Linked DNA regions of Arabidopsis thaliana. The protein of the gene in region 2 purifies or fractionates together with the protein of the main gene of each other region. This does not show direct contact. Each region holds a gene or a part of one and is shown on either strand. Other genes may lie near its edges.

Region 1 (4,679 bases), about 20 Mb from region 2:
CACACATTTTTTTTGTAGTGATTGTACTTGATTAGTACTCAAATCATTTTGTCATCACATCAATCAAGTGTATATGCCTAAAATTTTAAAGAGTAGATTAATTAATCTCAAAACTCTTTCATTTGGTGGTTAAGTGAATTATTTCCGGCGAATGGGAGGAAATTCTTGATCATTAAAGATTATTTTCAATCACTCGTCAATCTATCCCTGCTTACGAAGAAGGGATTTATAGGGTGGAATGGGTTAACGAGTTTGAAGACCAGAACGTGTGGTTTAAAACATAACAGGGGCTGAGATCATAGAAAACATAATTCACGACAGAAACACATGCTCTAGCTGCGTTATGGACGGGCCGGGACTGCATAAAACTATTTGTTTCGGGGATAGTTTTACTTGTTATGTTTGGCTTGTGTGTATTTTTTGGTGTCGTGAATGTTTGATGTTATTTTAAATAGAGAGATAGAAGGAGAGGCCTTTGTTTCATGCTCTGACGTGACAGTGGGTCTCCTGCCTGCGACTGGTGATCACGGCAAGATGATTGGTCCGGCAAGGATGTGTCAGGTGTCCTAGTTTTCTTAAAACATTATAAGTATAGATCTTTGGCTCATGTAAAGACTTGGAAAACCTTATGTTTTGAGCAATGGAGTGTTTGTTCTTTTTGGAATTACATTGTTGTAAGTTTTCAAAGGTTGGACTTGAGATGTAAGTGGAAGTTTCCACAGTTGTAACTTTTGAAACATCTGCTTTATATAAAATAGTACCACTTTTTTGGAAAAAAAGACAAAAAAGAAAAGACTTGGGAAACCTTATGAATGTTAAAAGTGTTGCCACTTCAATACAAACATCGTACTTAAAAATACAAGTAACCACTTGGGCCATTACAAAGTAAATCAACCATCATATATATATACACAATCACGATGAATAATGTTTTTTGAGTATATTAATGAGAAAGCTTGTATGAGATGATCAAGATGATGGCGAGAACGAGAGCCACGATTACCGATGTAATGATCCATTTGTTCCTAGTCATTCTCCTTGACATAGCCGTCAACACCTTCTTGCTCTTGTCAATGGCGTCATCCACACCATGAAGCTGTGATTCAAAATCAGAAAAGTTAGCTTCTCAATGATCTAATTCAAACAAATCATTGGCACTGATAGATACCAAACCGAGCAATTGTAGACGGTACCTTGTTGTGCGCATGAAGGAGGGTTTGGCGTTGCTGACTCAAATCTTGGACAATTGAGATGCCAACCTCTTCTGTCTCCAGCATTAGTCTTCTACTCTCCCTGATTCTGTCACTTGATTGGTCAAGCCTCTCCACGGACATTGCCAATCTTCCTCTTTGATCAGCAGATACCTGGAACATGGACAATAATGTAAATCACAGCAAAGTCTTTGCCATCTAAAAGTTTGTGTGAAGATGAATATAAAGGAGGGTCCCCTCAGGACAAAGAAGCCTAACTGATGCAAGTCAATTAAGACAACTAAGATAATGAGAAAACAAGAGTTTCTATTTAGGAGTTAGAAGCTTACTGCATGCAGATCCGCCATTCCGGATTCCATCAACTCTTCACGGGAAGACGGCTTAGCATCTGCGGAAGAGACTCGTTTGAATTCCTTCTTCAATTGGTTCAGATCAGATTTATACTCTCTTAGTTTAGAAAGACACACAGCTTTAGCACTCGGCTGCAAACTTCTTGCCTCAAGATCCATTTTCCGGATCTACAAAAAAACCACAGAAGCATATATATTAATTTTAAAAAAGAAAGAACAGAACGGTAACAACATTAAAGCAAGTTAAATGCAAATACCAAGACATCAGCTTCGTCTATTCCAGACTTGATCTCAGCAATCTTCCCCTTCTTCTCCTCTATAAAAGCACACAACAATATCTAATCAAACCTCTACTCTGGTTCTATGGCACCACAAAATGTAACAACTCCATGCATGTCTATGTACTATAACTCCAAGAAAGACAGTGGTAACCATAGACTGACAAACAAATGAAAAAAAACACCAACTCAATAAACCTCTGCAGCTACATAACTAGGTTCTTATGATCTTATCTTCAGTCTTAATTTCTTCACAAAACTACTTGACCAATCCAAGTAAATTACATTCCCAGATACTACAGAACTCGTCAGATCGTAAACAAGCTAAAACGATTAGTAAACACTCATGCACCTCTACTTTACAAATACCCCCAAATTCGGACAAAATTAGATGAAATAGATTGAGAAACAAGTTAATAAATCTATGCAACTACATAACTATCTAGACCTAACTAGGTTATCGTCTTCTAATCCAAGCAATGAGAAACAGATCCTATGTCTCAACATTCCTAAATGTTACAAAACTTCGTCAGATCCTAAACAAGTCAGGACGATTAGTAAAGAACACTAGTCCACCAGCTACTTGTCACAGCTCAAAAGCTCCAATAACCCCAAATTCGAAGATTCGAATTTCTAAAATCAGGTAAATTCGAAGATCTCGCGTTCAAGATCCGAAATCGGGAGCGTCTGGATTTTACCTCCGTTGGAGAGAACCGATGCAGAGTGACATTTTCTAGAGAGATTGGTTGAGAGCTCGCAGTATTGACGCTCGTACCCTTCAAATACGTCGCTCATCTTCAATTATATGTTTCGATCTTGAGAAATTTGGTGGATTTTTTCTGATCAATCGGATCCTTTGTTTGATTGGATTGGATCGGATCTAGAAGCAAAACAGTTTCCTCTTTGCTTAAAGATAATCAAACAACTCTTCTTCTTCTTCCTTTGTATTTCTCTGCTCGGGGACAAGGAGGAACAATCAAACAAAGCGGTGCGTTTTATATTGACACGTGTCAGCCACTGCGTATTAAGTCCCCCATGCTGCAATCGATGCAAATGTAGGTGAGACAAACCAAACCGAATCAAACCGTTAATTAAGATTGAAATCTAAGTGTCTTTTCTCACTTTTTCAGCTCTCGGAAATAGTGTACATTTTATGCAGAACCAAGATTACTCGTCCAGGAAATAGACAAATCCATTGATAGAAGTCGAATCTGTTTTGCGTAACTATGTGGGATTCTTTGATAGTCTCATGAAATCAAAGAGATCTCAGAGGCTAAGAGTAAGATAGTCCACTCGAGTAAAAATGGGGGGAACAAGCAGAGATTCTCAAACTATATTAGCCAGGTGAAGAGAACCAACAGATATTATTAGAAATTCCACTTGGGATTGTTCGTGTTACATCACATTCATCGACTCAGTCATTATATTCTACAAGAGTACAAGGTAAACATAAAAAGGATCCTTTGGGCTCTTATAGCTCATTCTTGACCTTTGCATCCCCATTTGGTAACACACTTTGCGATTGCGCCAACCGTTTCGCTTCCTGAATATGACCAAAACTGTTTAATCCCCTTGACTTACTATAATATATTAATGAAGATGTACAATACTAGTCGAAGTTAACAACTTACAGCAGCAGAACTAGCACGGATTTCTCTATACATATCGACTTCATCAGGGAAATTCTGTTCAAGCTCCTCCAGAATATGTTTTCTCAAATCCTATTTATAACAAAATGTTGATTAAGAGACTCAGTAACCTTAAGAATCATACACAAATTAAGAATCAGAAGAAAAGGAGTCACCTTAAAAGCATCAGTCTTGCCCTTAGTAACTTGATTTCTAGCTATGCAGCTATTAAGAACATCTTTCGTAAACTCATCCGGGTTCTTCCCATCATCAATCAAGCTATACGAAAACGCAAACATAAGTAAGCAAGTAAAAGTATCTATCTTCAAAGTGCATACTAAAAACAAAAAGGACTTGTTTTCTCACTTAAGAACCTCCATGGGGATTTGAATGTTGCATTTCTCAGACAACTTAGTCATGTTATCTAGCTCCATCACAAGAGAGTTACTGCAAATACACACACACACACATATTCATTCAAACAATAGTTACAATACCCAAAACAATAAACACAGATGAGTAGAGGAGTTACTTACAGGCGCTGGAGGAGATGGAGTTGAGACGCGGGTGTGAAAGAAGTGACGGTAAGGTGTAACTGATGAAGGACTCCTAAAGTTTTCTCAATAGAGTTTATGACTTGGGAAAGATTCTCCTTTGAATCATCAGCAACGGTCACAGTTGAAGTCCCATCATTGGTTTGATATCTGATTGTACCATTGCTCCCACCAATCCCTGCACTTGTGTTCTGTGTTGGATCCATCACAAGCTGCCACAAAATATAAACTTGAGATATATGACCTGATGCGTTAGCGATAACAAAACAAAAACGAGAAAACGCAATTTTCGATCTCAAAATCAAACGAAAATTCTTCAGAAACCTTATTCAATTGGAGTGGATTTTGGTATCCAAATTTCTAATTTTAGATGCAAATTCCACAAAAACGCCCAGATCAAGAATAACGATAACAATAACAATTAGCGTAGAATGAAGATCCGTGACTTACCTACAACAGAGATGCGTTTGGCGAGAGTGAGGTGGAGATTCTCCGGACGAATTAGGTTTTCCTCCGAGCCTTACCGTGAAAACCGAAAAGGGACCGACGAAGACAGGGAAGCGGAAGATATTTGGACACTTTGCTGACGTGGAATATCATTATCTTGTATCTGTTTCGTTCATACTTTTATTTCATTCTTCATCAGCTGTGTTAAACT
Region 2 (6,549 bases):
TAGGAATTGATATCGTTGATGTGATCCATTAGTAACTGGAATGTTGAATTTGATGGTTCAATCACCATTAGACCGGAGTTGAAGAGCGTACCGTCGTTTCCAGTTGTGGAGATTTCGGGGTACTCGAAGAGGAAATCCATGTTTCTGAGGATAAGCATGTCTGCATCAATGAAGATGATCTTGTTGTATTCTGTCAATTCCCAAAGACGGAATTTGCTGTAGTTCCATTGGTTATATGCATTTGCTTCAGCTTTCGGGTTTCTGATTCTTTGAAATGTGTGAATCTTCCATCCAGCTGATTCCAAGCCACTTCTATGGTATTCACTGATCGAATCATCGACTAGTATTACCAAATTGCGAGTAGAGCCTGACATTCGAATGCTCTGTGCTACTGCAATGGCTCCACAGACAAAAGCATCATCTGAGTGCAAGATCGTCGCGTACGCTTCTTTCTTGGCATTTGCCGAGTAGAAATTATCTGCAATTGAATCATAATCAGCTTAGGAGGAGAGAATAGAGATGTCAAATTTAGCTGATACAAAAGACGAAGAAACTTACTACTGAGTCACTGACCTTTAGCTTGAAGAGGAACAGAAAGTTCACAGGAACCAACAGGAAGTTGTAACTTTTGTCTTAACTGGTGAAGTTTAGGCTTATACAGCCATATGTTTCCTTGACGGGCAACAAGTTCTTGACCCGTAAAAAGATTCGGTATTGGAAAGCAATCTGATACCAAAATCACATGAACATCATGAAGCCCTTCAGAAGATGCCGCCACTCGAGCTGCTGCAAGTTGTAAGTGCAATCTAGCCACATCTCTTGACCATTTTCCTGACTTGTTACATGGGAGCTTGGCAATGATAAGATCGATTCGAGACTTGTCAGGAACTTGAATCCAAGGAAGAGAAGGACAAGTGGGGACTTTGAATTTTTCTTCCTCGTCAATCCATTCCGGGTATAAAGATTTCCAAGTTATGTTACTTGCAGCATGGTCTAGATGCAAAGCTATATGCTGACAGTGAGATTTTATGACCACCTGCCATCGATTAATCTCGTTATCGTTGAGATTTAGAAAGCCAATTCCTTGATACTCGCTTCTGCCAGATAAGTAATGCTCAACAACAAGTGACATACTGTTCCAGTTGATCTCAGATGTAGCTATATAGCGAGGATCTGTGGTTACAGCAGGTTCTAGTATCCATTTGTTTGCAAAACTTGATGGATCTTCAGGAATTTGCAACGGTGGAGAACAGTAGAGTGTGAACATAGCAACCAGCATCATAAGAAACAAAACAAGTTTCAGACTAGAGAAGTTGACACACATTTCAACATCGAGAGTGTATCCGTTTCTTTGGAATCTCTTCGTTTTTGTTTTCTCACTATATATGTAAAACAAATGCACTATGTCAAGCCAACAGATGAATACAGATCTCTGTAATGCACATACTCAACCACATTGCTCTCATGATCTATGATCCTATCTGATTCCCCTAAGTTAGGTAAAGTAGTTTCCATTGAACTCAAGAAACTGATGAAGTAGAAGAGAAAAAGACTTACCTGGAAATGTAAAGTCGATGACTTGACTGACTTGACGGCGCCATGGGACTTTCAGAAGAGAGCTTCATTCTCACTGTAAGAATATTAAGTTTGACTTTCCTGAGTGAGAGACTACATGAAGCTGGATGCATCGAGCATTACAATAATCACACGTTTTTGACGCTAATCCAAATTATATTATATTAGCGGACGGATCGGAACAAAATCAACACGATGGGTCAATGTTAAGTTTGAATTTTTTTGCGGAAAAATCCTGATCTATTAGATGTTTCCTTTGTAAAACCCTGATGTTTTATTACTTAATAAATAAACCCTCAAATTAGGTTCAGTTAATCAAAAATTAAGTTTGTGTTGAAAAGAGGAATAACCAATAAAATATAGGGTTTGTTTTGCAAAAACACTTTTCTTCGTATGAGTCGACGAGTCTGGGGACCTTTTAGTTTTCTCGATTAAGGAAAGGAAGATCTGAAAGTGAACGCGAAATCACTTCGCCAGCGTTATTGTTAACAAGAATCATCAGATTAGTCGCCGTAGATCTGAATCAACGTCGTAACAGTAGCAGAATTTTGCGGTGAAACGATGGTTTTGGTTACGTCTGTGCGTGATTACATTAACCGGATGCTTCAGGACATCTCCGGCATGAAGGTTCTCATACTCGACTCCGAAACGGTAAAGTCCGATCTCGTCTTCTTCGATTGCTAATCTTCTCTGATTTGTTTCTGGAATCGTGGTTCATAATTTCCCTTGTAACCGGAAACACATCTTCGTGATTACTTGTTTATTGGATTAATTGTTGAATTTGCAGGTTAGCAATGTAAGCATTGTGTATTCACAGTCAGAGCTGCTTCAGAAAGAAGTGTTTCTGGTGGAGATGATAGATTCAATATCTGTGTCAAAAGAATCGATGTCACATCTGAAAGCTGTTTATTTCATCCGTCCAACTTCAGATAATATTCAGAAATTACGATACCAGCTTGCGAATCCTAGATTTGGAGAATACCATTTATGTATGATTTTTTCATCTTCTAACTATTTCGAGTTTATCATTGTTCACTCACAATATACAAAATTTGATGTTGTTTTTGTTATGAATTCTTTCAGTTTTCTCCAATCTGTTGAAGGATACTCAGATTCATATTTTGGCTGATTCCGATGAGCAGGAAGTTGTACAGCAAGTTCAGGTGATTTTTAGACTTCCCTCATCCATGATGTTTTTGAATAGGAGGCTAATGCTAAAAGAATGTTTCATAGCCTATATGATGGATCAATATATGTATAGATTTTTAGCTGTCTCTGAGAAGTTGCTTGGTTTGTGATGAAACGGCCATACTTGTGGAGCTTAGTATCCCCCCTACCTGTCTTTAGTTTTCTGATTTAAACTTATATTGCTTGGTGCACTCGGCATAGTACTGTATAATGGCTTGTTTAACATAGTCTTTGTGGTTTTTTATATTGCAGGAGTATTATGCAGACTTTGTTTCTGGTGATCCATATCATTTCACATTGAATATGGCATCAAATCATCTATATATGATCCCCGCAGTTGTCGATCCCTCTGGTTTGCAACGCTTTTCCGATCGGGTTGTTGATGGAATTGCGGCAGTGTTTCTGGCGTTGAAACGAAGACCTGTCATCAGATATCAGAGGACCTCTGATACTGCAAAAAGGATTGCACACGAAACAGCTGTAAGTGAAGTTGTTTGACAAGCTCTCGTAAAGTTATTTGTTCCCGCTATATTTTGCATGCATGTGATGGAACTAATTCCCACTTGTGTCTATCCAATAGTCTGAAAATTCGCTGTTTATGTTTCAGAAATTGATGTATCAGCATGAAAGCGCTCTTTTTGACTTTAGACGGACTGAAAGCTCTCCGTTGCTACTTGTAATTGACAGAAGAGATGACCCGGTTACCCCATTGCTGAATCAGTGGACATATCAGGTAACTTGACTAAACAAAATTATTGTGCTACTCTATGATATAAGATGTGCCTCCCGCTGTCTTGCTTTTTTGTAAGACTACGACTTACTAATTAACGAGATTTTCTGTAGGCAATGGTGCACGAACTCATAGGACTTCAAGATAATAAAGTGGACTTGAAATCCATTGGAAGTCTTCCAAAAGATCAGCAAGTGGTTAGTTTTCTCCAATGCCATTGTTTTTTAGTTGAGAACCTTACAGCTAATATGTCTCTTATCCTGGCAGGAGGTGGTTTTATCATCAGAACAAGATGCATTTTTCAAATCTAACATGTATGAAAATTTTGGGGATATTGGAATGAACATCAAGCGAATGGTAGATGACTTTCAGCAGGTGGCCAAGAGTAACCAAAATATCCAGACAGTAGGTACAAATATGGCTAGTCTTAAACTATTCTCTGCAAAAACTTTTGTAACAACAGATTCTCGTGCTAGTGACAATTATATATCTGTGAATTCGTTGGTTGTACAGAGGATATGGCCAGATTTGTTGACAACTACCCTGAGTACAAAAAGATGCAAGGCAACGTTTCAAAGCATGTAACTCTGGTTACTGAAATGAGCAAGCTAGTTGAAGCAAGGAAACTGATGACGGTTTCACAAACAGAGCAGGACTTGGCTTGCAATGGTGGCCAAGGAGCTGCATATGAGGTAGTGAATATCTGTGGTGAACATTCACTTGTAGTCGCATATATTAAAAAATAGCTACAACCTGCAGAAGTTCTTACTGAATAATTTGGCATTCAATAATTTGGAGTCTCATGCGAATGTAATCCAGTGAACCTGCAGAAGTTAGCGAAATATGCAAAATTGTGCAGACTCTGCTGTAAGCACGGAGCTCTGACTCTCTATTCATGCTTATTTGCAGGCAGTTACGGATCTCTTAAATAATGAAAGTGTGTCTGACATCGACCGGCTGCGTTTGGTAATGCTATATGCTTTGCGCTATGAGAAAGAAAATCCTGTTCAGTTGATGCAATTGTTCAACAAATTGGCTTCACGGTCTCCCAAGTACAAACCAGGGGTACAGTCAGACTATCATCTGTTTCCTTTCAGTTTAAATTGCATCTCTTTCTTGTGGCTTTATTATTCTGCATCTCTTTTAAGGTTGATTTTGATCTGTCCCTCTGCTACTACTATACTTGTTAACCTATCTGCAATTCCGTCCATAGTAGTTTTACCTTTTCGTTTTTATTTTTGAATAACTTGATAAAAGTACCCTCAAATCATGTTATAACTTTCTGGTTGCCATGCAACTGCAGCTAGTTCAATTTCTCTTGAAACAAGCCGGTGTGGAGAAGCGCACTGGTGATCTATTTGGAAACAGAGATCTTTTGAATATAGCACGTAACATGGCTCGTGGACTTAAGGTCTGTATCTGAGTTAACTCGTCTCCAGCAACATTCTATATCTCCCTATATATATGTCATGTTACTGACATCTTGAAAAATACAGGGTGTTGAGAATGTCTACACTCAACATCAGCCTCTTCTGTTTCAAACAATGGAGAGCATAACTAGAGGGAGATTACGAGATGTGGATTACCCATTTGTTGGAGATCATTTTCAACAGGGACGGTATGTGCCTCTAATTTTTTCAATTTCTTAAAACAGGTAACTTGTTTGATAGTTACAGATTTCTGCAATTCGTGAAAACTTACATAACTAATCAAAAACTGCAAAATTTCTGGATAAACAGGCCACAAGAGGTGGTTATTTTTATGGTTGGTGGAACAACATACGAGGAATCACGCTCTGTTGCTCTACAGAATGCCACCAACTCCGGGGTTCGGTTTATTCTCGGCGGCACCGCAGTGCTTAATTCCAAGAGGTAATGCTGAGGTTAAGACAGTGTGTGCAAATGAGCCTCGATTGGTTTTGAGTTCTAGGTCGAAACAGCACTGATCAACTAAAATATCAACATTGGTTAAGTCATAGAAGGCCCAAACCGAAATTGCTGTTTGAATTAAATAATAACTAGGAATCTAAATTGGTCTACAAAGTTCATGAAAGTGTATTATAAGAGAAATGTAAGCTGAAAAGTGAATTTGGTTGTGACAGATTTCTAAAGGACTTGGAAGAAGCACAAAGGATATCAAGATCAGGTAGCCATATGGTGTGAAGAAGATCCAAAAGAATTTTGTGTAAATTATTTTTTAAGTCTTAAGATTCTTCCGGGGAGCACATAGAAGAAAGAGACAAATGAAAGAAGAAGATTGTGGTCAGGTTCGTCGAATCTTTCGTATACATGATGATGATTACCCCACCAGAGATTTAATTTTTGGGGTTTGTGTGTGTATTCATCGTGGTACAGTTTAATTGGACCGTTCTTCTTACACAATTATGGCTAATCAAGAAAATGTAACCTGAGGAAATTTTACTCCTCTATCATAATTGCACAAAACAGAATTAATAATCTTTTTCAAAATTATAATAACACTTTAGACAAAAACCAGAGAGATTTCATAACAAAAAATCTTTATTACTCTTAAAAAACAAAATCATATGTGGAATTTTTGAAATATTACTAGTTTACTACTCCCTTTTATAATAATGAATAAAATCACTTTTATAATAGTAAATTAGTAATGAGTAAAATCTGACTGACGTCAATCAAAAGTAAGTACCGATTTGGGAAAGAGAACAATCAAAGAGAAAACATAAAAACAGAGCTCTTTTGAGTATATATGGAGTATCTTATGTAGCTCGGCTACTGTCGCCGTTGGATTTCTCAAATGTCGTAATATGATGTGAGAGCGAAGCTGACACAACTCTCTGTCTCTGCTCTGGAAGCATTTTTACTTGTTGTTCTTTCACACATACACACTTCACAGAAACCCTCCATTACAACATAATAGTATATATTTACTATACATTCCAAAAAAATCATTAGGTTTACTTTTACATCCAAATTTCATACTTTTAACAAAGCGATTATGTGCAATTTAATCCTCTATCAAGTTGGATTTTGAGGGGTTAAAATTGTTTGAAGTCAACTAGCAAAAGTCTCATTCTT

What was found.
Region 1: the proteins of VPS45 (region 2) and VTI1B purify together in Arabidopsis thaliana (affinity purification with western blotting, with the first as the bait; one study listed by BioGRID). This does not show direct contact.

The regions. Positions count from the first base shown.
Region 1 is NC_003070.9:9,214,058-9,218,736, reverse strand, and holds VTI1B (Vesicle transport v-SNARE family protein), read right to left. Parts: upstream 2,968-4,679; 5' UTR 2,635-2,967; coding exon 2,538-2,634; intron 1,878-2,537; coding exon 1,819-1,877; intron 1,730-1,818; coding exon 1,541-1,729; intron 1,365-1,540; coding exon 1,194-1,364; intron 1,097-1,193; coding exon 944-1,096; 3' UTR 727-943; downstream 1-726. Other genes in the region: AT1G26665 (Mediator complex, subunit Med10), read right to left, coding at 3,311-3,382, 3,471-3,560, 3,644-3,746, 3,834-3,914, 4,004-4,227. UniProt on the Arabidopsis thaliana protein: Together with either SYP41 or SYP61, required for membrane fusion; the fusion of phospholipid vesicles containing SYP41 or SYP61 and VTI12 is triggered by YKT61 and YKT62.
Region 2 is NC_003070.9:28,982,027-28,988,575, forward strand, and holds VPS45 (vacuolar protein sorting 45), read left to right. Parts: upstream 1-1,907; 5' UTR 1,908-2,136; coding exon 2,137-2,226; intron 2,227-2,362; coding exon 2,363-2,564; intron 2,565-2,658; coding exon 2,659-2,738; intron 2,739-3,015; coding exon 3,016-3,243; intron 3,244-3,370; coding exon 3,371-3,496; intron 3,497-3,606; coding exon 3,607-3,690; intron 3,691-3,760; coding exon 3,761-3,902; intron 3,903-4,006; coding exon 4,007-4,185; intron 4,186-4,402; coding exon 4,403-4,558; intron 4,559-4,796; coding exon 4,797-4,904; intron 4,905-4,989; coding exon 4,990-5,111; intron 5,112-5,232; coding exon 5,233-5,364; intron 5,365-5,594; coding exon 5,595-5,655; 3' UTR 5,656-6,009; downstream 6,010-6,549. UniProt on the Arabidopsis thaliana protein: Involved in the protein transport to the vacuole, probably at the level of vesicle fusion at the trans-Golgi network (TGN) and not in transport from the TGN to the prevacuolar compartment, by promoting the recycling of vacuolar sorting receptors back to the TGN.